4 linked regions of the Diceros bicornis minor genome follow. The protein of the gene in region 2 purifies or fractionates together with the protein of the main gene of each other region. This does not show direct contact. Links are inferred from orthologs where the notes say so. Each region holds a gene or a part of one and is shown on either strand. Other genes may lie near its edges. The genes, in order: CTTNBP2, ZRANB1, GCC2 and MAP4K4.

What was found.
Region 1: the proteins of ZRANB1 (region 2) and CTTNBP2 purify together in Homo sapiens (affinity purification with mass spectrometry; 3 studies listed by BioGRID and IntAct, with this or other methods). This does not show direct contact. The link is inferred for Diceros bicornis minor from reciprocal best matches to the Homo sapiens genes ZRANB1 and CTTNBP2.
Region 3: the proteins of ZRANB1 (region 2) and GCC2 purify together in Homo sapiens (affinity purification with mass spectrometry; 3 studies listed by BioGRID and IntAct, with this or other methods). This does not show direct contact. The link is inferred for Diceros bicornis minor from reciprocal best matches to the Homo sapiens genes ZRANB1 and GCC2.
Region 4: the proteins of ZRANB1 (region 2) and MAP4K4 purify together in Homo sapiens (affinity purification with mass spectrometry; 3 studies listed by BioGRID and IntAct, with this or other methods). This does not show direct contact. The link is inferred for Diceros bicornis minor from reciprocal best matches to the Homo sapiens genes ZRANB1 and MAP4K4.

The regions. Positions count from the first base shown.
Region 1 is NC_080742.1:68,710,237-68,717,140, forward strand, and holds the start of CTTNBP2 (cortactin-binding protein 2), read right to left. Parts: upstream 3,009-6,904; 5' UTR 2,921-3,008; coding exon 2,840-2,920; intron 1-2,839. UniProt on the Homo sapiens protein: Regulates the dendritic spine distribution of CTTN/cortactin in hippocampal neurons, and thus controls dendritic spinogenesis and dendritic spine maintenance.
Region 2 is NC_080745.1:87,596,498-87,603,521, reverse strand, and holds the start of ZRANB1 (ubiquitin thioesterase ZRANB1), read right to left. Parts: upstream 3,011-7,024; 5' UTR 2,662-3,010; intron 1-2,661. UniProt on the Homo sapiens protein: Ubiquitin thioesterase, which specifically hydrolyzes 'Lys-29'-linked and 'Lys-33'-linked diubiquitin. Also cleaves 'Lys-63'-linked chains, but with 40-fold less efficiency compared to 'Lys-29'-linked ones.
Region 3 is NC_080779.1:5,477,275-5,485,196, forward strand, and holds the start of GCC2 (GRIP and coiled-coil domain-containing protein 2), read right to left. Parts: upstream 3,010-7,922; 5' UTR 2,993-3,009; coding exon 2,987-2,992; intron 2,625-2,986; coding exon 2,568-2,624; intron 1,557-2,567; coding exon 1,472-1,556; intron 1,464-1,471; exon of another isoform or gene 622-1,463; coding exon of another isoform or gene 594-621; intron 339-593; coding exon 271-338; intron 1-270. UniProt on the Homo sapiens protein: Golgin which probably tethers transport vesicles to the trans-Golgi network (TGN) and regulates vesicular transport between the endosomes and the Golgi.
Region 4 is NC_080779.1:11,851,646-11,858,663, forward strand, and holds the start of MAP4K4 (mitogen-activated protein kinase kinase kinase kinase 4), read right to left. Parts: upstream 3,007-7,018; 5' UTR 2,858-3,006; coding exon 2,801-2,857; intron 2,447-2,800; coding exon 2,381-2,446; intron 1-2,380.

The sequences.
Region 1 (6,904 bases), on a different chromosome or scaffold from region 2:
TGTCACCTGGAAAAAAAAAATTTCAAGGTGCCAGTTAATTTGTTTAATGTTACTGTTGTGCATTTTTAACAAAATTGCCCAAATTTTTCTTCTTGCCACTATCACTGTGACAACAAAATTTATATCTACTTTTTGCGTATTAGCTGCTCCAGAAAAGTCCAGAATGACAAGAATGCTGGTCAGCTTCCCAAACATAGCTCTAAAAAGAGCTCCACTTTCCTTTCACTCTTCAATTCTTTGGTGACAATAAAAAGCAGGAAGATTTGTTTTCCATAGTGCCTTGTCCATCAGAAGTTATTTTTCAGAGTAGAAATAGCAATATAGCCTATAAAAGTCACATTTTGCTAAGGCACTGAAAATAGCAGGTCTCCCGGCGTGGATCACAGCAAAAACTATTAATATGATCCTATTGAATAATGTAGCCGTTACCCGGCTCTACACTTGGGATGCTTTCAGGATTTAAACAGCTAAGAACAAGGATCACAAACTAAATTTAAAACACTCCACTGAAAATCATATTAAGCTGAAAACTATAAATTAAACTTGTCTCTAAGCAACAATCTAAATAGTCAAAACTTAGTGAAAACACTCACTTTCAAAAATAGCCTACTGCTTTGGAATCTCCATTGGCTCATAACTGCCAAATGTACATAGGAAATGCATAATATGTAAACCAACTTGAAATGAAATCTCTAAAATGCAAAAAAGAATTATTCACTAAAAACGAAAAAAATTTTAAGTCCTCAGTTGCCATGAACCCAAAATGCCTAAAAACGTCTTTGATTTTTAATCATTAGATAAGGAGCAGTTATAACAACAAATATCATTCCTCAACCTAGATTTCTTTAACTTAAAAATCAGTCTACAGGTCAAGAGGCTGATATGGGAGTACTTTAAGTGAAAAGTAAAATACTCAGTTTACTGCCTAAGAAGCCATCATCAAAATTTTACTAAAAAGTCAAAAATTATTTCAGAAAACTATCAGATTAAGAGTCCTTATTGCATCTCCTCAGAATTTTATGGAAATATCAAAGGACTTTCACAGATTTTCCATAGCTATTCCCATTAACCAGGGTGAAATGATCAAATCCCTACCCATCAGCAGTGAAAATCTGACTCCTGAAAATTTTAAGCATCAGAAAGGGAGCACTGACCTCCTTAACACAAAAATCCACCTAGCATCCAAGGTTCTGTTTACAATCTATCCAAATAAAACTATAGATCGGTTACAGACCATAAATCAGATGTTTGTGTTTGGTTTAATTGTCAGGTGATTAAAATATTGAGGGTAATAGACGAAGCCCATTTTAAGTCCATTAAACAAACAAATTCAACCTTCCTGGGAAAGGAGAAACACACACACTCCCCTCTTTCTTTTTCTTCTCACTCCCCTCCCCTTACCATCTCTTAGGGATGAAGGTACCCAACCATTTCAACTTCTCTGAGAGGCTTGTTGTCTTAATAGCTGGCTTCCTTATTGTACCTCACAGAGAGAAACGGATTCACGGCATCAAAAGTAGGCAGGTTTCATTTGAAATCTTAAGAAAGTTCATATTTTCCATGTAAAGAATGAAAAATCAATTTTCCTAAAAGTTTCAGATCAAAACTTGCCAGTTTCACAAGCGGAAATCAGCAGCCCTCCACCTCCGTTTTTCCTTCCCTCCCTCTTTTTTTCCTTTCCTTCCCTGGCTCAGCTCCTCTCAAGCCCAAGTACTTCCTCCACATCTCTCCTCTCCCTCTCCAGAAAGCCCTACCTCTATACAGAGAGGAAGTCAATGCAGCCCTGGCTATTTACACCTGGCCCTGCCCTCTGCCACTCGTGCAGCAACTCTGCTCAGGTCATGGGAAGAACTGAGGGCCATCCCTGCTCCGCTCACTCCATCCCACCCGGAATCTCTGGCGGGAGCAGCGGGATCGCGCCAAGGGTGGGAGGCGCTCCCAGAGCTGCCTTTCTTTGCAGATCCTTGCAGCTCCTGCGAAGCTGCTTCCCAAACCCCGAGAACGTTTCCACCCAGGAAATGTGGATCCAGCCCTCCCCCAGGGTAGAAGCTAGAAACCACCATTGAGCCTCTGTGCACGGGAATATTCTGGGGGTGAAAATGGGAACTAGCGATGGATGGAAGCTCATTCGGCTTCCAGACCCCCAGCAAAAAAGAACAATGTGTTGATACCAGGTGCTGAACCTCCACCTCGCCCAGGCATCGTTTCGGGAAGAACAAGAACACTCCCCCCCGCCCCTCCACCCCCAAAAGCCACTACCACCAAGCGATGGGGCAGCAGGCAGCTAGGACCCAAAGCGCCGGAGCTCAGCGGTAGCAGCGCCCACAGCTGGACACCGGGCCTCTCCCAAGGGGCCCCCGGCACACGAACACACACACAATGGGCATCCCCACACCTGCTCGACGATGACCCGCCTCCCCCTCGCTGCTCTCCCCGGTCCGCCGAGAAGTGCCAGGCACCCCCCAGACACGCGCCCACAACCACGCGCGCAGCGAGAGGCGAACAATGGGGGGTCAAGTTCGCCAGGAAATACACCCGAGTCCTCGCCCGGGGGCCAAACCCGACCTCAGCGGAGGGAGTGGGCGTAGGGGTCGCAGGAGACGCACGCAGGAGCCCCGAGAACCGGGCGGACCGGGGCTGCTTCCCGCGGGGCTCGGAAAGGACAAGGGGGATCCCTAGCCCGGGCGGCCGCCTCGCCCCACTCGACCCGGCCTCCGGCCCTGAGAGCTCCCCGAGGAGGGGGCACCCCTAGGAGAGGGCACCCCGAGGAGCGCGGGCTTGCGCAGCGCCCGGGGGCGCCCACCCCGAGACCCCGCGCCCACCCCGGGACCACGGTTACCGCCGCCTCCGCCGTGGCCCCCGCCGCGTCCTCGGGGGCGCGGGAGAAGTCGGGCTCGCAGCTCGCGCCGTCCGTCGCCATCTTCCTGCCCTAGCGGATCCGAATGCGAGCTCGGAGCCGCGGCTCCGGGTGCAGCCCTCTCGCCGCGGGCGGCGCTTAACCCGCTGCGGTCCAGGGACGCGGACGCGGGCGCTCGCAGCCCGGCCGCCGCCGCAGCCGCCGCGCTCCCTCCTCCCCTCGCCGCCGCCCCCGCCGCTTTAACCCGCTGCGCGCCGGAGCGCCGCCCGCCGCCTGCTCCCCGCCCCGCCGCCCCGCGCCCGGCGCCAGCCCTCAGCCGGCTCGTCGAGATACGGGAAATGGGCACATGCCCAGGCCAGGTTATGGCGCGGCGCGGAGATGGGAGAATGAAAGCCGCTGGGTGAGGTGAAGGAAAGAAAGAGCCCAAGAGGTGATTCGCCCGCCCAGCACAGCCCCCACGAAGCGGATGGTGCAGACCCACCGGATTAAATGTCAGGCCTCCAGAATCCGAATTCTCTGTAAAGCAAGGAAAAATCCTTCGCTTCAGTCCTCTCTATCCCGCCGCTAGGAATCACGTAAGGCACCCTTTTCTTTTTCTTAAATTCCTTTCTTTTCTTTTCTTTTTTTTTTTTGGCAAGACTGCCGCCGGGGCGTTTGTACCCTCCTAGTGTCTATGTCTGCCTCTGTCTTATTCTTCTTCTCCCAAAACCAACAACTCCCAGATCAAAATGCGTCCTGGTACCCTTTATTACCCTGCACCTGGCCCCTGGGTCTATACCTTTCTATTCCATCTCTTTTTCAAGAAAGGTGAAGCAAGGCTCCTTTTTGTTCTTTGACTCCAAGTCTGAGTTATTTTCTGAAGGACTAACCAAGAAATTTTGTGTCATTGCTTGCAAAAGGAAGCTTTCAACTTTTAAGAGAAGTTAAAGGAATTACTCCCATGTGTTGAAGACACACACACCAAAAAAAAAAAAAAAAAAAAACCTTCCCTAAGAATTGATTTTATGGGAATAATAGGTCTCAGAATATATTTCATGATATGAGTGAGTTAGGTCCAAACTCTTAATTTTCCCTTCCCACATCTGATTCAATTCCTACCCTTTCCTGCCAATTCCCAGGATGTGAAAATCTTATCAAGACCATATGGTACAGGCCTTCCCAAATCACCAGATCCCAAAAATGTGTTGGAAGCGCAAAATCAAATGGAGGCATTCAGGCTGTGTCTCAACGAAGTAAAATCAAACCACAACCAAATCCTGGACTTGAAATTCTGGAAGATGAATGACTGGAATGTTCAGTCCAAGGGTTACAGATCAAGCTCATTTTAAAAAATGGCAGACACCTAATGAAAGGTTTTGGCACTTTAATTGCTTCACTATCCAAATTGCATCTAAATATGACACAAACCAGGGCAGAGGACATCTTTTCTGCAAAGACCCTGAAAAAGAGTGATCAATAAATTGTAAAAAGTTTCCTCCCAGAAGAGGTCTACATCAAGAAAGAACTTTCACCTGGAGCCCTGGGGTTAAGGGTCACAGGTTTAGAAATCACCTCCAGGTTATCCTGTAGACAAAGGTGCTCATTTGTTTATTTTCTTTGGCTTTACTCTGAGAGCTACTCCTTCTCTTAGACTTTATGGTTTCCATCTCTGTTCATTATACCACTTTCTTTTATCAAATATTCTCTCTGAAATTGCTCACTATTAGAATAACTAGACTCCTTATAAGATGAAAGAAAAGCGTTTGACAGTAAAACTTAGATGCTGAAGTGGTAGTAAAAATTTAAAGTTGGAACCAAAAGCATTCCTTGTTCTTTTCAAAATGCATTTTCACACATCACAAGGCAATGAATTTTCTTGATACTGATGCTTGATACTGATGCTGAATTACTACCCAAGAAATTAACTGGCTCACTTCTGAAAAAAGACAAAAGAATAAAATAATAAACTTCACTTAGGGGTTAAGAACTGGGAATATGACATGACAATATCCCTGGAAAGCAAATCCCATTTATTTTATACATGCAGCTCAATTTTAAAAAATCATCATTGGGAAGAAGTAGCTTCTATTAGTCTAAATACAATTTAAAGCAGAATCACCCCACAAAGGAATGAATCCCTGAGTGGTTTCTTCCCTCTCACCTCCTTTTTTTCTTTTTCCTGTGAAAAAAAAAAATCACAAGACAGCACATTTTCTAACTGCTAAGTCCCGGACCTGGGGAGGAAAATAAACAGGGTTTTGTCTGTACCTTAAAGCTGTCACTGCCTGCTGCGGAGGGTTGATGGAATATCCCACCCTAATGCACAGAAGAAGCACGCTAGGAGTTAACTCCCTCACAGTGGCCTGGCCCCGGGCTGCTTCTCCACCAGGAGAACACTTGCTGGTTTAAAATCTCTCCTGAGAATTAGCCTCTGTTGAGATTGCAAATTAACTCTTTCTGAAAGACTTTCTTTGCACAAAGACAAGCTCTATTAGAGTCAAACCAAATAGATCTGAAAGGGTAGTGACTTGATGGCTCCAGAAATTAAATCTTTTGAAGCTTCATTAAACAGCTAAGTAAATTGAAAAAAAAGACATACCAGGGCTGAAGAGAAAATTTCTGAAAGGCAGGGGAAAAGAAGAGAGATGGAAGTATAAGCAGGAAGAAAAGAAATCCCTATAACAAAAATGAATCATGATTTTTAATCCGTGAATTTCTTTCAGCATTAAAATGAAAAGAGATTGAATCTATTGCAAACAGAGAAAACTGTTAGTTACATTTTTTTCTCCTTTGAATATAATGATGTAGATGACCCACTGACAAAAGAATTTGAGACAAATTATTTTCTGAATCCTGGAACAGAGGTGTTTGTGCTGAGCCTTAGAGCATTCTTCAAGATTCTCTTTTAAGACCAGTGAAATGGGTTGCTGCAGCTAGGAATGCAGACTGTAGTTGGGGAGCCAAGTGGTTTTCTGATTAAACCATGGCCTTGGCCTCACCAGCCACAGCCTCCAACCCATTAAACCAAAAACCCAGCGAGTTATACATAATGATGGGACGAGATGCTTCCTTCCATACGAAAAGATGAAAGAACATACACATATCCTAAAACAGTTTCCCTCTTGGAATAAGGGAATTCTTTATTTCAGTCAAATGACAACATTTATGTTAACTCCAAAGAGCAAACCATATGTTATCATGTCTTAGTATTGCCAAATGACAAAATTACTGAGTAGCAAATCATTTCTGACTGTATCCACAAGGCTATAGTTATACAATTTAAATATTCCAGACCACACTTATCCCTGTCTACACCACGGTGACCAACCTAGGAAGCCCCAAATCCTGACATCAGGAAGTCTAACAAAGAGCACAGATGAGCTTGGAGTGCCCTGTGTCTATCACATGTTTTTGAAACCAGGACATTGCCAGAAACGAGTTTTCATATGACCTGACTACATTCCTTCATCATCAGCTTGTTATTATCTACATGTGTTTAGGCTCTTTGTGGATTTCACTCAGTAAATTTAATCCTAATCTAGTTAGCCACTCCTGTCAACAACCTATGGTTTTGGAAGGCCTCCTCCACCAACTGCAGTTGGTGTGTGCCAAGGGAATGCAAGCTAATTTTACCTAAGCTAAAGCAAAACATAATTAGGAAATTAAATCTTCTAGGTAGGAAGCGAGCCAAAGCTAAACATAAATATATCATTATAATCACTCCCAGCCCCTTTTAATACCACCTCTAGCTAGGAACTGTATTTGGTTATTCAGTGCTAAAGTGATGTCCAAATAGAAGATCTCATTAAAGAGTTAAAGGTACAGTAAGAATATTATTCCCCAGTCTAGTCACTCTAAGAACAGAAACTGGGGCTAATACAGAACAATGAAGCAGTGTTGGTTCAGTTTTACTGAATGTTTTTAAAATCCTAGACCATTACTTGGTTTGGACTCTTATCTGCAGAAGTCATTTACAAGAGTAAGTTTTAGTGCAGAAGGATGTTTTAGTGCAAAACTATTATGGAAAAACAATTTTAACAAAGGAATCTGGCCCACTGCTGCCCCTCA
Region 2 (7,024 bases):
GACATAATCATTATCAAAATGTTGAGCATTTTCTACAAGAAGAGAACTATGCTGATAATAGTTATAAACATACTGACCAAAAAAGTTTTTTTAGAGACAGTCATAATTTCAAATATTTTGTCTCATAAATCATCAAAGTCCCAGAAACTCCAATACTTAGAAGAGTACAAACTGCACATCCCAGAACACATCTATAACCAAAAATACTTTGTCAGAGCATGTATCCATATTTTCAGTGCTGAATACATGGTCTGCATACATAATAGTGTTCAAGGTTCATATCCATTTCTCAGAGGTCTTAAAAGTCTAACTGGGGGAAGTAGAATAACAACATAAAAGATAAACTGAAATCCAGGCCAGCAAACGCAAAGGGAAAAAAAAGAAACAGTCCCACACAAGAGAGGAGTGACTAGATGCCTTGGGGTTGAAGTAGTCAAAAAGGCTTCTCAAGAGACAGGGCTCAACTAGGTCCGGAGTCAAGAGAGTATCCATGAACACAATCAGAAAAGGGCTTCCAACAGAAAGGCCAAGAGGAGGGACTTCACAGGAACAACAAACACGTTAGTTTGGCTGGAACTAAGGATTCACAAAGGGAAGAACTAAGAGTTAAGACTGAAGAACGGATCAGGGCCAGATTATAGAGAAACTTGAACACCACACCAAGAAGCTTAAACTTCACTTTGCATGTAATCAAGAGCGTTGTGGAAGTTTTTAGGTTGTGATGTGAGGAGCTGAGTGTGTTAAAATGTGCAAGGTATTATTTACCCAAAGCATAAGCAGAGCACAATTTTCCAACTGAAACATCACATCACTGGGAGAAAACGTATTCAAAGCCCAGGTAAAAGGGCTTATTATTGGGGGAAGAGGGACTCCAGCAGCAATGCTCAAATAATACATTGAACCAAATTAAATAAAAAGTGACAGTGGTCTACTTTTGCAACTCCCATATATTTAAAGTTTCCATTTATTATAAAAGCAATATAAGTATAAAGCACATTGAACAGCTCTCACTATATCAATTACACATAACAGGCAATTTACTCCAAATATTGTACAACTGAATTGTGAGTTCCAGAACTATGCTAATCCTCAGGCTTTAAATGTGATATGCCATAACCCTTATCAGTATACAGAGCTGGATTAGGCCATAGGCTTAAAATATACTACCATGAATGAGTTCATCATACTGACCCACGCACATTTCAAGAGTAAATAAATGGGTCTCAATGCTCTGAGGCACTAATAAAAGGTGTTGAAACATCAGCAGAAATAAAAATCCCTCATGATATTCAAATATCCTCACCAAAGATTAAAATGTGTCGTCACTCACTGTCCTCCGAGTTCCCCTAACAGCCCAATAAAAACAATGTTATGAAATTTTAGTATAAGGAGGTGACTGCACATCTTGTTGCAAGATTCAAAAATCAAGGCGAGAGTTCTAAATTTCTTTAGAATCATCTCACTTAACAATAATAACCAAGAGGAGAGATCCAGCTTTATTTTTCACAAACATAGTTTAGATGACTTTCCCAAGGCCCTTGGCACAAGCCAACATAAAATTCCTTATGGTTTTCCCTGGCTTATGATTTGTACACTGAGTCATCCAAGTTTGATCAAAACCAGGGTACCCTTGAGGTCGCACAAGTGATAAAGAATAGAAGAACCACTCATTATATCACATTTCCAAGAGCTAAAGACTTCTCTTCAACTGTGTTCCCAAAACAGTATTTCTGTACATTAAATTTGTTGACAACACCATAGATCATACCGGGAGCAAACCAATCAAAATATCGGGTAGAGGGGACAGCGTTTAACCTGACAGTCTTTGGAGTTACGGAAAGGGGGAATCAATTGACTGATATTCAAAATTCTCAGCAAGAGAATTTCAAAACACCAGTGTATCTCAAAGATAATAGGCCGGTTCAAACTTCCAGACTGAACCTAAACTGCCCGTCCCCTGTGCTTAATGCAAGTATTCATTACAGTCCTTTTGTTTGTTAAATGACCCACACGAAGCCACAGCGAAGAAAATAAGACACTTGCACTGAACAATCGTTATTGCGAGCGAGAGGGGCAGACAATCTTTCCACTAGTTCCAGCTCCTCCTCCCCAGCCCACCCCCGGTGCCCCCCACCTTTATTTTCTTAAACAGAAATGGCAACAACGGGAGGCCACCGCGGGAGGCGGAAAGGAAACGGCGAAGGGACTGAAATACAAGTTTGGAGACCAGCACCAACTTGTGGTGATGGACCCAAGTATTTACGGCCTACTGCAGAGTGGGAGCGAAACCCCACTCACCCACCCGTAGGTGGCAGGAAAAGAAGTTGAGAGGAAAATCTGGCGGAAGAGAGGTAACAGGGCAGGCGGCGCGTCCATCCGCGGCTGATCGATGGCCGGTAAACAAGCGGGGCGGACCCACCCTCCCACAGCCCCGGGCCTGTCCTCGCACCGGGAAAACCCAAGATGGAAGCGCGGCGGCGGCAGATCGTGCCCCCTCCCCTCTCCTCCCCTCCCCTCGCCTGCGATGCCGCCCCGGGGGGCGCGGGCGGGCGGCCCGGGAGACCCGGCGGCCTGGGCGCCGCCAGGGAGCGAGAGGCCGGGCAGGCCGCGGCGGGGGCCGCGAGGGGCCTGCGGCAGGGCGCCCTCCCGGGACCAGGTTACCTGGCGGCGGCGGCTCCTCCTCCAGCTCCTGCTCCTCCTCCCCGTCCGACGCTCGGCGCCCGGCGGCGGCGGCGGCGGCAGCGGCGACTCCCCGAGCAGCCCGCGGCGACGAGCCGAGCCCGGCCCCTCTCCGCCTCCCTCCGCGCCGCCCGCCCCGCTGCTGCCGCCTCCGCCCTCTCCCTTCAGTCAGGACATGGTCTCCGCGGGCCCGCGCGCGGCTGCCGGGGGCGGAGGGGCGGAGAGCAGCCGCGGAGGCGGGGGGGCGCCGGGGGGCCGGGGGAGATACGAGGGGAGGCGGCCTCGGGCGCTGCGGGCTCCTAATGGCGGCGGCGGCGAGGGGCCCCGGAGCCAAATAAACCCCACGGCGAGCAACACAACGTCAAGACCGGACCCCGCCGCTCGCCACCCTGTCATTGGCCCCGAGGCCGCCAGCGGCGCAGCCAATGGGCGGCCGCCTCTTTCCGGGCGCAGGAGGCGGGCCGCGGAGAGGTGACGTCACGCCGGCGCCCGGCCCTATTGTGAGGCCGTGGCGCGTCGCCCCGCGCCCAGTCCGGTGTGCGGCCCCGCCGGCGCCCGCTACGGGCCCTGTGCGACCTGCGGGGGACGCCGGGAGGTGACGCGGGGGCGCGGCGCGCGCGGGGGGGGCAGACGCAGCCGGGCGGCGCGGGGGCGTTCTCTCGCTGTCCGTCTCCCTCTGCCTCTTCTCTGCGACAGATTCACCAGACTGCAAAATCAACCCCCGGGTCTCACGGCACGCCCGTGAGCTGCTTAGTGCGGATTCTGCTTCACTCTTTCTGATACGGTGTCACAGTCTTTGTAAGACACCGGCAAGATAAACGTTTAGGTTGTTTGTGATTCTTTTTCATGTATCTGTTTTTTTACAATGTCTGTTTTTTACTCCTGCCTTCGAGGCGGCTATCCATTTATATGTGTATGTGTATATTTATATATGTTACATGTATACATACATATATGCATGGTGAAAAGCCGTGGAGTTATATGCCAATTATGTCTCAATAAAATTTTTTTTTTTTTTTAACAGAAAAAGGCATGGAAACTGCTTTTCGCTCTCTTCTACTACTTCCTAGCTCTAATTTTGGGCAAACCCAGCTTTCTTGTGATTGCCTTTTCTGTAAATTGTAGATTTAAGGCAGAGGATAAATTACAGCCGTGGGAAAAAAAACCAAAATTCCCAGAGCCCAAGTTCTAAAGAGAATATATGGTGTATTTTATATATTTCTTTCTTTTTTTTTACTGTAAATATAGCCAAATAGACTGAGTCATTTAGCCATTTGCTAAAACCCCATGAGTGTGTCAGATTTTTCCAGCTGGAGAGCTTTGTTTTTCCCAGTGGGACTTCACCTTGCATTTTCATACTTGAAATTTTTTATTTCAATAATTTAAAAAACTATAAAACACAGCAACTCTTTAAAAGTTGTAAACCTCAGTCTCTCTTTGCATAAATATGGCAAATATGTGTGTACAGCTTCACGATAGCCATTCAAGAATAATACCTTATGTAGCTTCTCCTCACCAACAACCTCTTTCATAATCGTTGGTATATTTTATCCTCATAGCCATTCCTGTGATATAGACATTTTCAATAATCCCCATATTCCCAGAGCAACATTATTTGCTCAAGAAGTTGCCAGTAAGTTGAGTTTAAACTGCAATAGTCATTTGCCTACAAAACTTTACACACATCCTCAAACATATAATTAACACAATTTAGGTAAAATTAAACACCACATTGTGTAAGAACAAATGGTTGAATCAACATTTCGCTTTGAAAATATCTTAAGAGATTCTGAGTGCCTCCAGCTTCCCCTTCCTGAACCTCAGCTGCAAAGCGTCTCACCTACAAGTTAATAAGAACCGCAGAATTTGGTGTTTTTATTTAGTTGGAGTTGGAGTTTATTTTGTTAAGGGAGGAGGGTATTGTTTGGGTAAGGCTTATTAACTCTTCACTCAATTTAGCAAACATAAATTAAGTACCATGTGCCAAGGAACAAGAATCACACAAAGATGAGTAAGACACATTGTGTTTGAGGAAACTACAGCCTAGGAAAAAGGACAAGACAAAAATAACCGTAATTATAATATGAGGTGGAATGTGCTAAGTAAATTCAAATGAAAATTGTGTTATAATTGAGAGGAAGAGCAAATCCAAAAATGACTCTGTTAAAGCTGAAAACATGCTTGATACCAGTCCAGGCCCTGGCTATGCGTGAGAATTATCTGAGGAGCTTTTTGAAAATACACATATCTGGGCCCCACCCCAACCCTATTGAAACTGTCCCCAAGAGGAGAGCCTGGGCATGGCTATGTTTTAAATGCACTCCCCAGGTGACTGTAGTATGCAGCCAGCTACTGACAGAGTCCCACCCCTGCACTTTGCAGCTGTGGAAACTAATGCCTAGAGATTTTAAGTGACTTATCAAAAGCCAGACCATCTAGGTTTGGAATTAGAACACAAAGCTTTTGATTTCTCAGTTAAATCTTCTTTCCATTGCACCATATTTGAGTAAAAAAGATGTCAACAAATGCTGTAGATAGCACTGTCACAGTTAAGGACTGATTCATGCTGTTTGGCACAAGAGATTAAATTATCATTCTCCTTACATATATTTCTGAGTTCTGAGGAATATTTCATTTGGGGGAAAAAGGTATCCATTGTTTAAAAAAAAGGCTTTTTTTCTTAGAACTCTTGTACTAGAATGTAGGGACACTATAGTTTTGTTGACAATTAATTTGTTTTGGCTTTTATTTCAGGTGTTCCCCAAACTACTTGTAGAAGATGTAATTTCATTTTACTTTGTCTGCCTTATCGTGAATGTCTTGAATGCCAAATCATGGATCTGTACTTAATTTCATTACTAGTATAAGCCATGGAAAGATTTTGAGCAGGAAAGTGCCGGTAGTAGAGCTATACCTTATCTTGGAATGTCTGTGGGACAAACTGGGGTAAAATTAGAAAGAGGGACCAAAACCAAAGTAGCTGTGGAATGGACAGGGTAGGGCGGGGGTGAAACAGGGGGGCAGTAGAATGTTCAGGGGTTGCCAGTGTCTGAAGCTGGGGCAAAAGAAAGAATCACAAGTCAGAGAACTCTGAATGATAGTGGTGTGATTAACAGTGGGAAATACGCGAGAGGAACTAAAGGAAGGGAGATGTTGACTACGGGTCAGGTATGTCAAGACCCTAGACTCAGGAGGAAATGTGCAGCAAGCAGGGGAAATGCTGGTCTGAAATTTGACAGACTGGAGCTGGAGATAAACCTCAGGGAGTTATCTATGTAGACGTGCAACTGAAGCCACAGGAGTGGGAGAGAAAAAGAAAAACAACCAAAGGGGGAGAGAAAGATTCGTCAGACAGATGAAAAAGGTGTTCTAGAAGCTGAGGGGCAGTGAGCCTCAAGAACGTGGTAATAAACAATGTCAGATTCTACAGACTCAGGAATGAGAACAGAAAAGGTCACTGGATTTGACAAACAAGAGGCTTAGTGACCTTCTAAAGAACAGTTCTCAGTAGGGTGGTAGGGAGAGAAGCCAGATTTCAAAAGCTGAAGGCATGTGTGGGCATCGAAGCAGTGATTATAGTCTACCAGTCCAAGACGTTTGGCAATGAAGGGAAGGAGGGAGATGGAAGAATAGACACAGGGAGGAACAAGAATGAGGGAAAGGGTCTGTTTTCTTATACATATTTTTTTAAAGAGTGAGCATATCTGAGCACTTTTGTGAGCAGAGAGAAGGTAGATAGGGAAAACAAAAATGATTGAAATCCAGGAGGAAGGTAATCCAGAGCACAGTGATTTGTCTTGGCAAGCGGGGGGAGGGGGTGCTTTCTTTCTCAGAAACAAGAAGAAAGGAAGACATGAAAAATAGAGCTGCAGAGAGATTCTGATGAGAGAGAGAGGTGATGGAGTGGACTTCGTATCCTTTCTCCTCTGGGGGAATCAAGTGCAGGTCACCTGCTAAGGGTTGGGCTGGGAGCTGGAGTAGAACAGAGGGACTTTGGGACAAGGATTGTGAGGAAGCAAACTGAGAAGAGTGAAGAAAGAACTACAAGGAACCACTTTCTCCAGGAGGTCGAGCAGCCCTGAGTCAGGCCTAGAACAGGGAGGCCAGACCACAGAGGCTACCGAGAGGTGGACCTGTCCAAATAAGGAAAGTTAAAGGCTCTTTGCTGAAGGACATGATAATAGGTCCAGCTTGCTTAGGGTCTGTTGGGGGATCTGTGCTTTTATGAAGCAAGTTTTATAAAATTGGTGAGCTCCCCTCAAAAGAATACTAGAAAGTTCAATTGTTACAAGAACAAATTCTCAGCCACGCTGCAGAAAATATCAGTTGTATAAACTGCAAAATA
Region 3 (7,922 bases), on a different chromosome or scaffold from region 2:
GTACTTACAGAGTGTGAAATGAAAAGGAGAGAGCATAATACTCACTGCAGAACAGAAAGGGATCTAGAGGTCATTTAATCCTCTCTTTTCACAGTCGACCAGAGAGGTAAAAAACTGAACCAAGGGCAGAGAGGAAGTGGTAAAACAGGACAGAAAGCCAGCTAGCTCTCCAGCAGGCTGAAAGCCCTCAAGGAAATTTGATTTATCATCAGACATTTCCTCTAAGTAAATAAAGAAAAACTAAAGCAATATTCACAACTGTTTCATTACCTTAATAATATCATCAGTTCCTCTAGCAACAGTTTTTGATTTCAATTCTTCAATTTCTTTCTCCAGTTCTAAACAATTATTAAAAAAAAAAATATTCCAGTTCAGAAACGAAGAAAATAATTACTGGCTAAGGTGACAAGTACATTCTTAAAAAAACAAAACATAAAAAACTACTATAAAGTAGAATACATTTAAGAAGCAGATATTTGGGGAAAGCATTAACTTCACTCAGTATTACCTTTTATTTTCCTTTTTATTATGGAAAACTCCAAACAAATAAAAAAATAGAGAAAACAGTAAATTAATTTCTATGCACCCATCACCTTGATTTTCATCCCGATCTGTATTCATTTCCTCCTTCTCCTCTTTTCTTACCCATCTTGATATTTTTGAAGCAAATCTCAGAGATTATTTCAGCTGTAAATAACTTCTTACTGTATAATTTTAAAGCAACAATTAACCTCATATTAAACATAAATGTTAACCTATTTCATCAACTCGTGGCTAGGTCTGAAGTCTGAAAGGTGTTCTAACTTTTCCAAATAAATTACTCTCTTTATCACAAGTTGATCTATCCTCCCAAAACACAATATGACCTTTTCTAGAAGAATTTAAGTCTTGGCTCTTAGGCTGGGCAGTTAACATCTGTTAAGTCATTGGAAATTCAAGAGCTTACCCACATAGTAAAAAAGGATACTAATATCGTTATCCTTTTGGAATATAAAGAAAAGGAAACTGAACAGGGAATCAGTCAACTTCACTAAATAAATATACTTCAAAATTCTAGGAATGGAAATCTTTTACTATCTTACTTGAGGCCTCTTTTTACTTTGAACTCACAACTTGTTGTCTCTAATGTTTCAACCAACTACTCTAGAAAAAAACGCTTTACTCAGAAGAACGTACAAGCTACATGAGTAAAAAAAGAATGTGTTAACTTTAAAAAACTATTTTTAAAAATCCTCCTCCCTGACTTTCTTTTAATAATTCAAAGGTAACTGCAGTTTAGAGATGTGAGATAATAAAAAATATCAGAGGCAAATGATTAGAATGTTAAATAAAAACAGATTCTACTACATTGTCTAAGATTTTGTTGGATTCACTGGTAAACAAAACAAGCCAATGTACAATTAAAAAACTAGTATTTTTAACCACGAGATTAAATGAGATTATGGTCAAATGAATATTTTCAACCCAATACCTGTACATTTTGATTTAGATTTCTGTATTAGCATCATCTGCTTCTTGGCAAACTTGATAAGATCTTCCTTGGGCAATGTTTCCAGCTGAAAGATGTAGTGATGTTACCAACTTGTTATAAATCATGTTTCTACCATACCATAAAAAAGAAACATGTCTGCCTAAAAATAAAAACATCTCACTGAATAAATCTTTGTCAAACACATTTTTTAAAATTAGCAAATGAACTTCAACTCAGTAATTATTAGTTAAGCAACTGTGAAATGTCAAAAATAGCACATATCCACTTATATAGATATATTGTTGTTATAAGTTAAGACAATTCCTAGGTTTTGATTTCTTTAATTGTAAAATTAGGGGACTGGGACTAATTCTACTTAAAGTTCCTTAGAGCTGTAAAATTAGTTCACTCTATTCAAAGCTGAAAAAAGTCTTTGGCCACATGAAAACATGTAAGCATAATTACAAGATGAATCAGGTTGAATTTAGGCTTTAACTGAAAAATCAGGGAAAATTAACCCCTGTGGGCTCAGTTTTCTCTTCTGTAAAATGGGGATAACAATAGTACTTATCACATGGTTACCATGAAGCTTATATGAAGTAACTGTTTACATAAGTGCCTGAAACTTAGTATGCAAGCAATAAATCTTAGCAATAAACCACTATCTTTTAGATTCAGTGAATGTGAAAAGTTGTACAGGGCCATAAAAATTACCCAATTCAACTTTCTTTTCCATAGGAGGGGCCTACAGGATAGAGTTCCTTGACTCCTACCTATGTCACCGCACTTTCCACTACACCCTTTACATCCTCAGAAATTAGACTGCTTTGTTTAATGTCTGAAAAATTGCACAATCTCTCAGCAGGGCTACCAAGGGGCAGGAAGTAAACAGAGAGTCAACTCTTTTCATACTAGGAATCTTAAAAGCAAAAAAGAAGAAAGAAATAGACGGGTGACTGTGTAAATTAAAATTGAGATCCCTTGGAGAAAAGCTCCTATTTATTTTAAACAGGCCACCCCTCTCTCCAGGCCAAAGTTTTCCAATTCATCACCCTTCCACTCTTCAGGGAGCCTGCCAGTCAAGTATTCGCTTCACCTTGGATTTCCCGGTCCCAGGGGTGGCTGGTGAAGCCACCCCATCTTGAACAGGATCCTGCAAAACAAAATCAAACCCAGGTGGTCAGAAGAACTCTGTTCCTGACCCCAGACGGAACTCGCGGAACTTTTACAGGTAAAAACCTTTCCGTGGAATCAGGAGGAGGAAACCCTTCACGTGAGAAACAGAATCGGGAGGGAGGCGTCTGTGGCTGCGGCCGATCGTACAGAATTGGCTGTACGGGGCAGGCAATCGCGAGGGGCGGAATCTGGGGGCGGGGGGAGACAAGGCAGCGCGGGGCTGCGGGCGCGGGGGGGAGGCTGCCGAGCCCTCTCCCGGGGCCCGTCCCCGCGTCCCACACCGCGGCGCGCAGGCTCGGTGGGAGGTGGCGGCCCGCAGCCCCGGCCCGGCCCCGTTACCTCCATGGCCGCCCGCCCGCCGGCCCGCGGCCCCGCAGCCCAGCCGGCGCGGCACTTCCGTCTGCGGCCGCCTCTGACGTAGCCTGCAGCGCAGGTCACAGGTCGCGCTTCTGGGGCCGGCCCCACCCCCCGCGTCTCCATGGCTACGGCACGGCGGCGCTGCCGCTTCCGCATCCGGGAGGCGGGGCCCGGCGCGCGCCCGCCGCGGCCGTGTGGCGGCCCGCCCGTGGGAGGGGGCAGCGTCCGCGCGTTGTCCGGGGCGAGCCGTTGAGCTGGTATCGCACGGCGTGGCACATGTGGGCGCTGCCGCTGCGGTTTTCTAGCTGTGAGAGCTTGGGCAGGTCGCCGCGCAGGGCCTCGTTTTCCACATCTGTGAAGTGGTGTCACGGTGACGGGAGTGCCCCCCGAAGGTGTCTGCCGGTGACGCTGCCCTGTAGGCGAAGCCTCCGAGCGCCTGCCAGACACACCGCTGCCTTCGCGGCGCGTCTCAGGCGGAGGCTGTCCCCACGGCCCGCGAGCCGGCTCCGAACGCGCGGCGTCAGGGCGGGGCCGGCTTCCCGGCTCCCGGGGCGAGCAGGCCTGGGGGGACGCGCCCGCCCGGGGGCTGGGGCCGAGGCGCGAGGTGAGAGCGCAGGCCGCCCCCTCCGAGGGCGCCGCGGCGGAGTCCCGGCTGGCCCTGCAGAAGCCGGCCTGTTTGCTGGACCGCGGCCCGCACCCTCGCCTTGCCGCGGTGCGCGCAGCCAGCGCCCGCTAACCGAGGCCGCTTGAACGTGTGACTTAGCTCCCTGTAGGCTGAATGGCCTAAAGGATGTGAGGAGGCAGCAGGTAGTATGGATCTCGGGGACGGCAGCTAGTTACTCGTAGGTAGAGAGGGAGTTAGACGGCCGGTGGGGAGAGAACGTCCCTCTGACGGGGGTGCGTGACCTCAGTGTACAACCAGTGAGGTGTGGCGCTGCGGTTTAAGAGTTTGGTTTAGGGATCATGTTTTCCTTTCTCTTAACGTGACTGAAGAAACATACGACCCTGATTGCTGTTGGCAGACATTTGCCACTGGATGGAAGGCCGCCCCAGGACAGAGTTGATATCAGGGAGAAGGCGGAGCCAAGACAGTCGCAGCAATGAGGCTGGAGTCCTACAGTCTGTGATGAGTGAGTCAGTAAGTTAGTTCCCTTAGGTGAGCCACTTCGCAGGTGTTACACATATCTTGGGAGGAAAAGTTTGCCAACTTGAGAAAAAAATTCTTTCCATAATGAGCTGGCTTGAGAAAATGCCCATAAACCTGGACATTGTGCAGTGTTCTAAATGAGTGACTTTTTACAGAATACAAAAATAATTTCAGACAACGTTTTAGAAAACCAGCAACTAAGTCCTAAAACCCACCAAAAGTTTTAATGTTTCAGTGGCAGCAAATACTGTTAAAGAAGGGAGACTATATGGTTTGGCAGATAGTATTGGAAAAACTCAAGACTTTGAGCAGCCTTTGGAGAAAAAGAGGACTTTCTGTTGTCCTGTCTCCATTGAGTCCATTGCCTTGTATGTAGCAGGCACTCAATGAATACTTGTTATGAATGAATCTGTTAATTGACATAGAGAATCGTCAGTGGAACAGAACTTAAGATCATTAGTCAGTATTTTCCAGGTTTTGAGCAAGCTTAGAACTGAAACTACAGGAATATTTGTTCTATCTGTTAACATACAGGACTTCATAGCATTTTTTCCCTTCCAGTAGGAGATCCAGTCTAGGATCAGGTATTGCATTTAATTGTGATGTCTCTTTAGGCTCCTTTAATCTGGAACATTTCCACAGCCTTTCTTGGACTTTTATAAAGTTGACATTTTTATTTTTTGACATTATGTCAAAAAAAAAACAACAACCCCGAAAACAAACAACTGAGCTCATAAGTGCAGAGAACAGATTGGTGGTTGCCAAAGGCGGGGGTTGGAATGGGGGGAAAATGGGTGAAGGTAGTCAAAAGGTCCAAACTTCCAGTTTTAAAATAAATAGGTCATGGGGATGTAATGAACAGCATGGAGACTATAGTTAATAATGCTGTATTGCATATTTGAAAATTGCTAGGAGAGTAGATCTTAAAAGTTCTCATAGCAAAAAAAAATTTTTGTAACTATGGTGATGAATGTTAACTAGACTTATTATGGTGATCATTTCCCAATATATACAAATATTGAATCATTAAATTGTACACTTGAAATTAATATGTGTCAATTATATTTCTATTTAAAAAAAGAATAAAAAATTGACATTTTTGAAGACTATACTCGCCACCTTTTGTTTTATTTTTTCAATTAACATTCATTAAAATGGACTTTTCTTTTGGCATAGAGTTCTTTGGATGTTAATACATGTACAGACTTGTGTAATCATTGGCATAATCAGGCTACAGAACAGTTTTATTATCCCCCAAAACTCCTCCATATTACTCCATGGTAGCCACACACTCCTCCCATCCCTAATTACTGGCAACCGTGATCTATTCTTTGTCACCATAGTTTTGTCATTTCATGAATGTCATATAAATGGAAACATACAGTATGTAACCTTTGAGACTGGTTTCTTTCTCTTAGCAAAATGCCTTTGAGATTCATCCAAGTTGTTGCATTTATCAATAATTTGTTCCCATTTATTGCTAAATAATATTCATTATATGAGCATACCATAATTTGTTTATCCAATTGTAGGATTTGTTTCAGTGTTGAGTGATTGTGAATAAAGCCGCTATAAACATATACAGGTTTTTGTGTGAACAAGTTTCTGTTTCTCTAGGGTACATACCTAGGAGTGGGATTTGCTGGGTTCTAGGGTAAGAATATATTTAACTTTTTAAGAAACTGTCAAGCTGTTCATCCTGATCATTACCCAGGAAGCAGTAGAAGGGAGATGATCTTTCTGGAGACAGCATTTAGTGACCAGCTGCCTTATTATGGTGTGCAGGCCAGGATATGAGGGAGGCAGTCAAAGCCTTTTTTTTTTTTTTGGTGAGGAAGATTCACTCTGAGCTAACATCTGTGCCAGTCTTCCTCTATTTTGTATGTGGGTTGCTGCCACAGCATGGCTGACAATTGGTGTAGGTCCGAGCCCAGGATCCGATCCTGTGAACCTGGGCGGCCGAAGCAGAGTATGCCGGACTTAACCACTACGCCACAGGGCTGGCTCCTCAAAAACCTTTTTGAGTTGATTTTTATGGAGGCTATTTCAGTGTTTTGCAATACCAAATGCCTGCAGATGGCAGGGAGTGTGGAAGTCCCATTAAGTACCTTGTCAGCCCATTGTTGAGTAGCTTTCTTGATAAAAGGTGTACTATGGAAATTGTCCAGGAAAGCAAACTCATGACCCATATTAGTTTCAGAGGCCACAATAGTGTTACCATGGTTGGCTGATTGGACTGAAACAACAGCATCATAACCTGAAAAAATGTCGCCTGTGATGAGGCGCCACCAATAAATAGCCTGGAAGAGGCTCAAAGGTCGGTCTGTCAGGAAAGAACTAGACCAGCTTTGGGTAGGAGTCACAAGTCTGGAATACAGTGGCAGCCTCTGCAGAAACAGAGCCCTTCACTTAGTACATTCTCTGTGATGGTGGATGTGTTGTCATGTCTGGTGTGATGATGGATCCAGGCAGCAGAATAGTAACAACCAGGGCAGTGGAGGCTCAGATAGCAGCTTGATTCCAGTCAGTCTCATCAGAGGATGAGTCCTTTCTGTGGGCATCTACATGAGGGCCCCAGAAAGTTTGGGTCAGCAGTTATAATTTGTTTCCATAGCTCACAGCCCCAAACAGGGATGTCTTTGATCTGCCAGTCTGTAGTTTTCGAAGTGGCAGACCAGATAGCTAGGCCACTGGCAAAAGCCCAAGAGTCAGTAAACACATAGCAAGGTTCATCAAGGCAAGTGCTGGCCAGAGCTCTGAGAAGGGCTTTGAGTCCTGTCCTCTGGGTGGAAGTTCCAGGTCCCTTTTTGGTGTGCAAAGCTGGCACTGAGGTTGAACACCTGCTGCAGTCCAGTGGGAACTATTGAGTTTTAGCTTAGCCTTAGCCAGGCTCAAGATTTAGGGGAATCTGTGAACTGAGCGCCCCATTGAGCCAGTGAAATGGCTGACATGGTTGAGTGGGGGTAAAATTTTCCCCAGAGAGATAGCTGTCACTTTCATGTAAAGCTGAGACCTTTTTCATTTGACATGCAAGGTTTTGTGAGCCCTTTTGATATCATCAGTCGTAGAGTCTAAGTTGAGCCACCCAAAAATGGGAATATCAGGCTGGAGATTCATAAGGCCTGCGTGGGTCAGTCATTTAGTTTTGACAAGAGTTCTACAGCAAGCTAATATTTGCTTCTCAAAAGGGGTGCACTTGGTAATGATGCTAGGGAGGCACTAAGTCCAGACCCCCAGAAGTAGTTCCAGGTGGAGGCTGCCTCCCTTCCCGAGAGGATCTTGTCAACAAAGTCATTGGTCACAGAGACTTCTGGCTCAAAGTGGTTATTAGGAATGTAGAGCCCCCAAAGCAGCAAGCGTGCCACAGCTTGCTGGACAGCTGCCAGTGTATAGACTGTTTTGCACTATACTCAAATGATACCAATTCATGGGTTAGCCAATGTAAAGGACCAAGTAGAATGCTCAGATGAAGCATGTACTGTCCCCAGTACCCAAAGAGCCCAGTGAGGCTCTGGGCCTCTGTTTTGTGGGGGAGGGAGGCAAAGAGCAGTTTTTCCTTGGCTTCCAGAGGGACGGAGCACTGTGAATTTGCTCATTTGATTCATAGTTCCAAGAAACTTTACTTGTTATTAGGTCCTTGACTTTTATCGGGGTTCACCAGCCTCCCCTAGCTCCCTGTTCAGGGTCATTGAAACTGAGGCTTCTAACTTGCCAACCAAGTTAAAGTTGAGCACATCACCTCTGTGGTGAAGGCCTTGGACATGAGAGGGG
Region 4 (7,018 bases), on a different chromosome or scaffold from region 2:
GAGCATGGTGTAAATGGTTCTACAAATTATAATTTAAAGAGAGAAGAAAATGGAGATGTTAACTGCCTCTACTATTTCCACCATCTCTAAGACTAAACTTCCCAGTATCAGTCCACAAATCTTAAAGAATTTCATGACAGTAATGAAACATGTATGAAACAATCAGGAAAACGTTAACACTGAATATGTGATACTAAGGAATTAATTTTTTAGGTGTAAGAATGGCATTGTGACTATCTAAAAAACAAAAAAATACACACTCAAGTATTTATGGGTGAAATGGTATCTAGGCTTTCCAGTAAGATAATGGAGGAGAGGGAGACTATAGATGAAACAGATTAGTCATGTGCTGGTAACTGTTAAGCAGGATGATCTACTCTCCCTCCTTGTGTATGTCTGAAATTTTCCATAATAATAAAAGAGAACAGCTGGTGAGCAAAATCTCAGGCACTATTTTGTTCATGATTGTATGCCGCTTTTGCACAGATTTCTTAATTCCTTAGGTTCGCATAATTTGAGAATTTCTCCTCAACCGTACAGACTTTGTAGTCAGAGACTTGTGTCACTGCCAGTCTCCCATATACTCCCAAATGTAGTGCTCAGCAAATCTATTTCAAAAGCTTGGGGGAAAGAGAGGATGGAACCCAAGAGGAAACGAGGAGGGGAATACTAACAACGAACCTGCCCAAACTGTTACCATCAAGAGCTCCCACCTCTTAAACCAATTAATATACATTCAGGTTTCCTTCTTTCTTTTTTCTCACAGTTTAAAAACAGACACAGTTGGCTTCTAGTTTACTTCACTGCCCTTCACATCCATGCTGACTGAAGAAGAGACAAACAATCCAACTACTGTGTAACCGGGGCAAAAACAAGCTTTGGCTAACTCACTTGGAAGAGTACACTCACCACTTAGATTTGGCCAGAAAAACTGGGTTAGAAAAAACCCACTGGTGCTTAAACAAACACTGGGGGGGCTAAGGAGAGTGTCTTGAAGCCAGTTAACAGGCCACTCAGAGAGTTGCAACACAATCTTTTCCAAAATTTTCTAAAGCCTTCCAAATTCAGTTGAGCCCAGGAGGCTGAGTTAACAGGGCTCCCTTTCAAATTCAAAAATCTGGCCCCAACCCCAACAGTTAACCAACAAAACACATGCTAATTCACTTGAGATCACCTAAGAATACTGACTCAAGTTCAGAGCACAGGCCAGTACGCAGCCCAGGCCAGGGGAAGCTGAGGTTGGGCAGAGGTGTTTAAGTGACAGATAAACCCTCTTCATAAAGGAGAAAAGAGACAATAGGATCCACACTTAATTTGGCCTAAGAAAACGTCTACAGTCAGCTTCCAACCCCCCTCCCCTCCATTTTTAATGAGACAATGACAGTTCTTCATGGTGAACCACAAAGCCCTGCTTCATAAGATATTTTTTTCTATTCCAACCCTCTAGGACTCTAACAGCTAGCAAACACCCCCAACGCAGATAACTGTTAGAAAACGTTTAGAAATAAGAAACAAACCAAAACAAGGAGAATTTTGAAACACTGTTTCAAATTTTCAAGGCCTGCGCCCCCATTATCTACAGCTCTTTCATAAGATCTAGAATGTGCACTGGCTAAAATGAACAGCGCTGTTAGTCACATCAGGTGTCAGCTACTCAGCGCAGACTCATGGTCTCCAGATTTGTTAGTTTCCTTTACCGTGGGGGGGGGGCGGGTAAAAAAAGAGAAAGACCTGGGCTGGATGTGAAATCCACGCATCCTCTTGACTTCTAGCTCTCCTTCATTTCTGTTTCAATTACACACCTGTCAAACAGGTTATTCCTGGAATTCAGATTTTATAATCCTCACACTGTAGTTCTTCCTGCTCCTGTTGCCCAAACACACACCCCTCCCTGCCTCCCCGAAATACGTATCCATCAGTAGAATGTACCCCAGAGATACAGAGCAGTCCCAGGCAACACCGAACTCCGCACCTTGAGCACTCGGCAGGCATTCAAACGAGGAAACACGATGACAATTTCCAAGAAGGCCAAGGCTCGCCTATACTTATCGTAATTAACACACAAACTCAGAAGGCCAGATTTGGGAAAAACGAAAAACTTAAAGCGATCTTATGAACTGCGTTCCCATTTTAGTGAAGAAAAGTGCACGCCTAACAGTGTAGCTTATTTCCTTATCTCAAAGCCAGGAAACGGGGTCTTTTAAGGCCAGTCTGAACATAAACTCTGTTTAACAACAGAGGGAACGCGAGGCGAAGCCCCCTCCCCAACTCTGGCCAAGCGGCGTGGCCTCCAGTCAGCAGCGTGTTTGTCACCCTGTCCTCGTCCCCAACGAGAAGTTTCAACAGGCCCCGGGAAACAAAGAAGGCGCCCCGCACCGACCTTATAGACTTGTCCATAGGTGCCATTTCCCACCACTTCCACCAGCTCGAAAATCCCAGCAGGGTCCTAGAGAAGAAGGAGGGGAGGCGTTACAATTTAAACGCAGCACAACAATGAATAAACGCGGCGAGGCAGTTGGAGAGAAAGGGCGGGTACAAAGGCGGCGGGTTCCGCCCGCTGCGGTCCCCCAGCGCCGAGGGGCCGGCGGCGCTCCGTCCCCGTCCCCGTCCCCGGTCCCCGGGGCTGGGGCGGCGGGCGGGGGCGCGGCGGAGGGTCGCGCCCCGCGTCCCCCACATGCCAACGCGGGCAGACAAAGGGGCCGCCGCGCCGCGCCTCTGCCCGCGCCGGCGCCCGAGCGCCCGGCGGCCAGGGCGCGGCCCCCGCTGCCCGCTCCGCGCGCGGCCCGTCGTGGCCACTCACCCGCAGGGAGGAGAGGTCGATGTCCACCAGACTCTTTGCAGGGGAGTCGTTCGCCATTTTCCCTTTTTGCCACCAGAAGAACACAGTCACGATAAATCTGTCTCTGTCTCTCGTCACAGGCCGGCCGCCGGCGGCGCCTCTCGCGGGGAGCCGGGCGGCCCGTCTCCGCCTCGCGAGGCCGGGGCGGCGGCGGCGGCGGCGGCGGGCGGCTGGGCTCGGGGCCGGCCCGGGCCGCGCGGAGGGCGGGCGGGCGGAGCTGCGCGCGGCGGCGGCGCTCACACCATGGCGCGGGCGGCCGGCAGGCCCCCGGGCGTCGCCCGCCGCCTCAGGCCCCGGCGCCCGCGCCGCGCCGCGCGCCTGGAGGACGGGCCCGGAGCGTGGGGCCGCGGCGGCGCCGAGAGTTGAGCGAGCGAGCGCGAGGCAGCGAGACAAAGATAACCCGGGGGGCGGGGGCGGGGGCGGGGGCGGGGGCGGGGGCGGGGAGGGAGGCGGCGAGCGAGGGGGCGGCGGCGAGGGAGGAGGAGAAACGGGACACCAAAAATATATTCTGAGGAGAGAGCAAACAGCTCCCCCTCTCCTTCTCCGGCAGGAAAAACGGGCGGAAACGCACTCGCGCCCGGAGCCCCGGCGGGGAGGGCGCGGGGCGCGGGCGTGAATATGCAGCAGGGGTGGGGCCCGAACAATGGCCCGGCGCTCTCGCAAACGCCGGCGCGGAGGGGACGCGCACCGGGGTGGCCCCGCTGAGGTGCGAGGGCACGGAGACGCCCCTGCCTCGCACCAACAATACGGGAAGGAAGACGGCTCTGGACCCTTCCCTCGGGGGAGGCTGCACGCCGCCGCGCCCCGGCTCTAAAGGGACATGAAGGGGGAGTCTCCAAGCAGAGGAGCGGCCTCCCTCCCTCCTCACCCCCGCTTCGCCCCATCCCCATCCCCCACCACCAGACTCTATACCCTCGAGACCCTCATTTCCGGTTTCTCTCCAGGATTCTCTTTTCCTTTCTCTTCTTTCCCGAGCTAAATTTGTGACACGGTTGTAGTGGCCGGGTTTGCTGAGCATCACGGGGCTGCCCGGTCCCGAGACTTTCAGTGGAAACAGAGTCCAAAACAGCTTCTCTAATTGCCTTCTGCTGAGTTCCGTACCTCACTCAGTAGGTGAGCAGTGTTCTGGGGCCAGAAGTGCTAACCCAAGTTTTGGGTCTAGAAATCACTAAGGATCGATTAAACAGCAGGTCCAGCAACTTTGGAAGCTAGTCGATAGTTAGGCAGATTAATCCTATGAAACAAGAACGTATCGTCTGTGCACAGCAATCATTTTTATCACATCGCTCACTGTACAAAAACTTTCAATGGCTCCCTATTACCTCACAGCAAGTTCTCAAACCTGAGTGCACGGGAGTCAGCAGGAGGGATTGTAAAAGCACTGATGGCCCGTCCCACCTGCAGAGTTTCTGATTCAGCAGGTCTGGGATAGGTCTGAGAATCTGCATTTCTGGCAAGCTCTCAGATGATGTTAACATGACTGTTACAGGGGTCACATCTGTGAGCAGAAGGCTCACAGGATGAAAATCCAGTTCCTACACGATTAGGCTTCACAAACAGCACTGCCATCATTATCTACGATTCTTGCTTTACATACAGTATTCAATTTAATCCCTCCTGTAGCCCTGGAGTGATGTTATCCTCATTTTAGGGAGGAGGAAACCAAAATACTGAAAGATAAGGAATGTGCCTAAATTCCTTAAAAGCATAGCCTGGAGGTGGAGCAGGGATTCTTACCTATCCCCAAAATCCAAGTCTCTGATTCAGCCAAGTTAGTCTTCTACCCAGAATGTGTTTAGCACTCGCCTGCCTCCCAACAATTTGGTTTCTGCGACTTTTGACTATGAGAATCCTTTGTAAGGCTGAAATATATTTAGGGACTCCTGGAATCGATTGATTGGGAAAATCATAGTAACCAAAGAGTTCCTATGAATTTAGCAGTGTTTTTAAATGATTTTATTTTTTAATTTATCAACAGCAATGGCATTATCTATGAGTGTTAATTAAATAATTTACTCAGAGCTAGAGTGGTACACATGTGAACTTTCAGACCATATTACTAGTAATAATATTTTAATAGTGGTTTATTATTAATAATAGATAACACTTATTGGGTCCAGACAACATGCTGAGTTCTTTACATATATTATCTCATTATTATTCACATTAACCCGAAATCATAGGTACTCTTATTTTTCCCACTTTATGCATTAGGAAAACAACGTCTAAAGAAGTTAAGTGACTCACTTTGTGTGCACAGCTAAACCCAGTGCAGAAATGCCAGGGCCCCCCAATTCAGCCTCTCTCTACAGGTTCACGGTCTCAGCTTTAAACTCATGACGTTGAGGCCTGCCTCAAACCACCCCCTTCTTCTGTGCCTAGCCAAATTCTCTCCATCCTCTCAAGCTCAACTCAGAAACCATTTCCTCCTTCTCCTACAAGCTTTCTCTAAATCTCCCTCCTAAACTGCTATTTCCCATATCGCCATTGTGGTGGTGATTTCACACTTTCAATTCAGTACCTTTTCTTGAAGTGCCTACCCAGTGCAAGGCACTGGCTTAGCCATTGCCCAGGATATAAGGAAGATTAAGACAGTCTCCCCTCAAAGAGCTTACAATCTGATAATGGGTGTAAGATGGTTTCATAAATAGCTACAGTTAAAGCTAAACAGGTCTAGTGGAAAGTGTGCTGGACTGGGGGCAAAACTGAACTGGGTTTGAACCCTGTTCTGTTATTTATCAGTTGTGCAACCTTGCACATGTTGCTTAACTTCTGAGCCTCTATTTCCTCTTCTGTATACGAGATGAAGACTGGAGATGAGAACAGTTAAGAGTCCATCTCAAGAGCACAGGTCAGAGCCGTAACACTTGGAGAAAGGAGATCCAAGAGGTCTTGGGCCAGTAGAGTCTCTTAAGATTTGGCGTTTGATGGAATGCCAGAGGCAGTGTAGACAAGGAGGTAAAAGATTTGCTTGTGGTTCGGAGCCTTGTTCACACTTGGGAGGATGCTGTTACAAACAGAGGAAAGGATGGAAGTTGCTAAGTTGTGGTGGCAAAGGAAGGTTTGGTTTTGGATTCTGTGCAAAGTTAGCTAACTTTTCATGCAGAAGCAGTGTACACCTGCCTAGCTTGCAACGCTGCATGAGCCATGTTCTCAATCAACAGCCATGTATTAATTAGCTCAGGCTACCATAACAAAATACCGTAGATTGGGTGGCTTAAATAACAAAAATTTATTTTCTCACTTCTCTGAAGGCTAGAAGTCCAAGATCAAGATTCCAGCTGATTTGGTTTCTGGTGAGAGCTCTCTCCCTGGCTGGCTTGCAGACGGCCGCCTTCTCGCTGTGTCCTCACATGGGCTTTCCTCAGTGCTAGTACACAGAGAGAAAGAACAAGCTCTCTGGGGTTTCTTCTTCTAAGGACACCTATCCTATCACATCAGGGTCCCACTCTTGATGACTTTATGAATTTAACCTTAATTATTTCCTTAGAGGCCCCATCTCCAAATACAGCCACACCGGGGGTTAGGGTTCCAACGTATGGGGGCACTCAAACGTTCAGTCTGTAGTAAGCCATGTGCAATATGTGATGTCAGGAAGTAGACTTAAGTCATGGCCATTGTCCTCCAGAATCTATTTGAAAATACAAAATAAACCCACCCAAAAAGATAATAATTTGGAAAATAAATACTCATTTGGGATTTTAGGCTCGAGGAAAAAATAGCTTGCTTGGACAAAGAATGAGAAGGAAAAAGAGGGAGGAAACTGGCCACGCTGGGTCAGAGGACTACCCTGAGAGAGAAAGCTAGACAGCTTAGGTGGGGGCAGAAAACAAACTGAGGTGTGGGCAATGTGGGGGTTAAAAACAGAACCCAGATTATTGATCAAGTCAAGGGAGAAGCAGCCTAGCCTTGGCTTTCAAGAGCTTGGATGGCAGTTAAGTCGCTTGTGAGTTCAGCAGGCCATGGGATATAAATGTGCATCCTCCCTGGGTACAATGGGCCAGACTGGCAGTCATCTCACACTCAGTCACAGAAATTCGGGGGGGAGCTTAATTATGCAAGAGGCCAACAATGACAACCCCCTGTACATCACTTTACTTATTGCCTAGTTGTTTCTTTGTTGCAAAAGTATTGGTAGAAATTGATTTCAACCTCAGAGTGGGACAGGGCAAGGAGGGC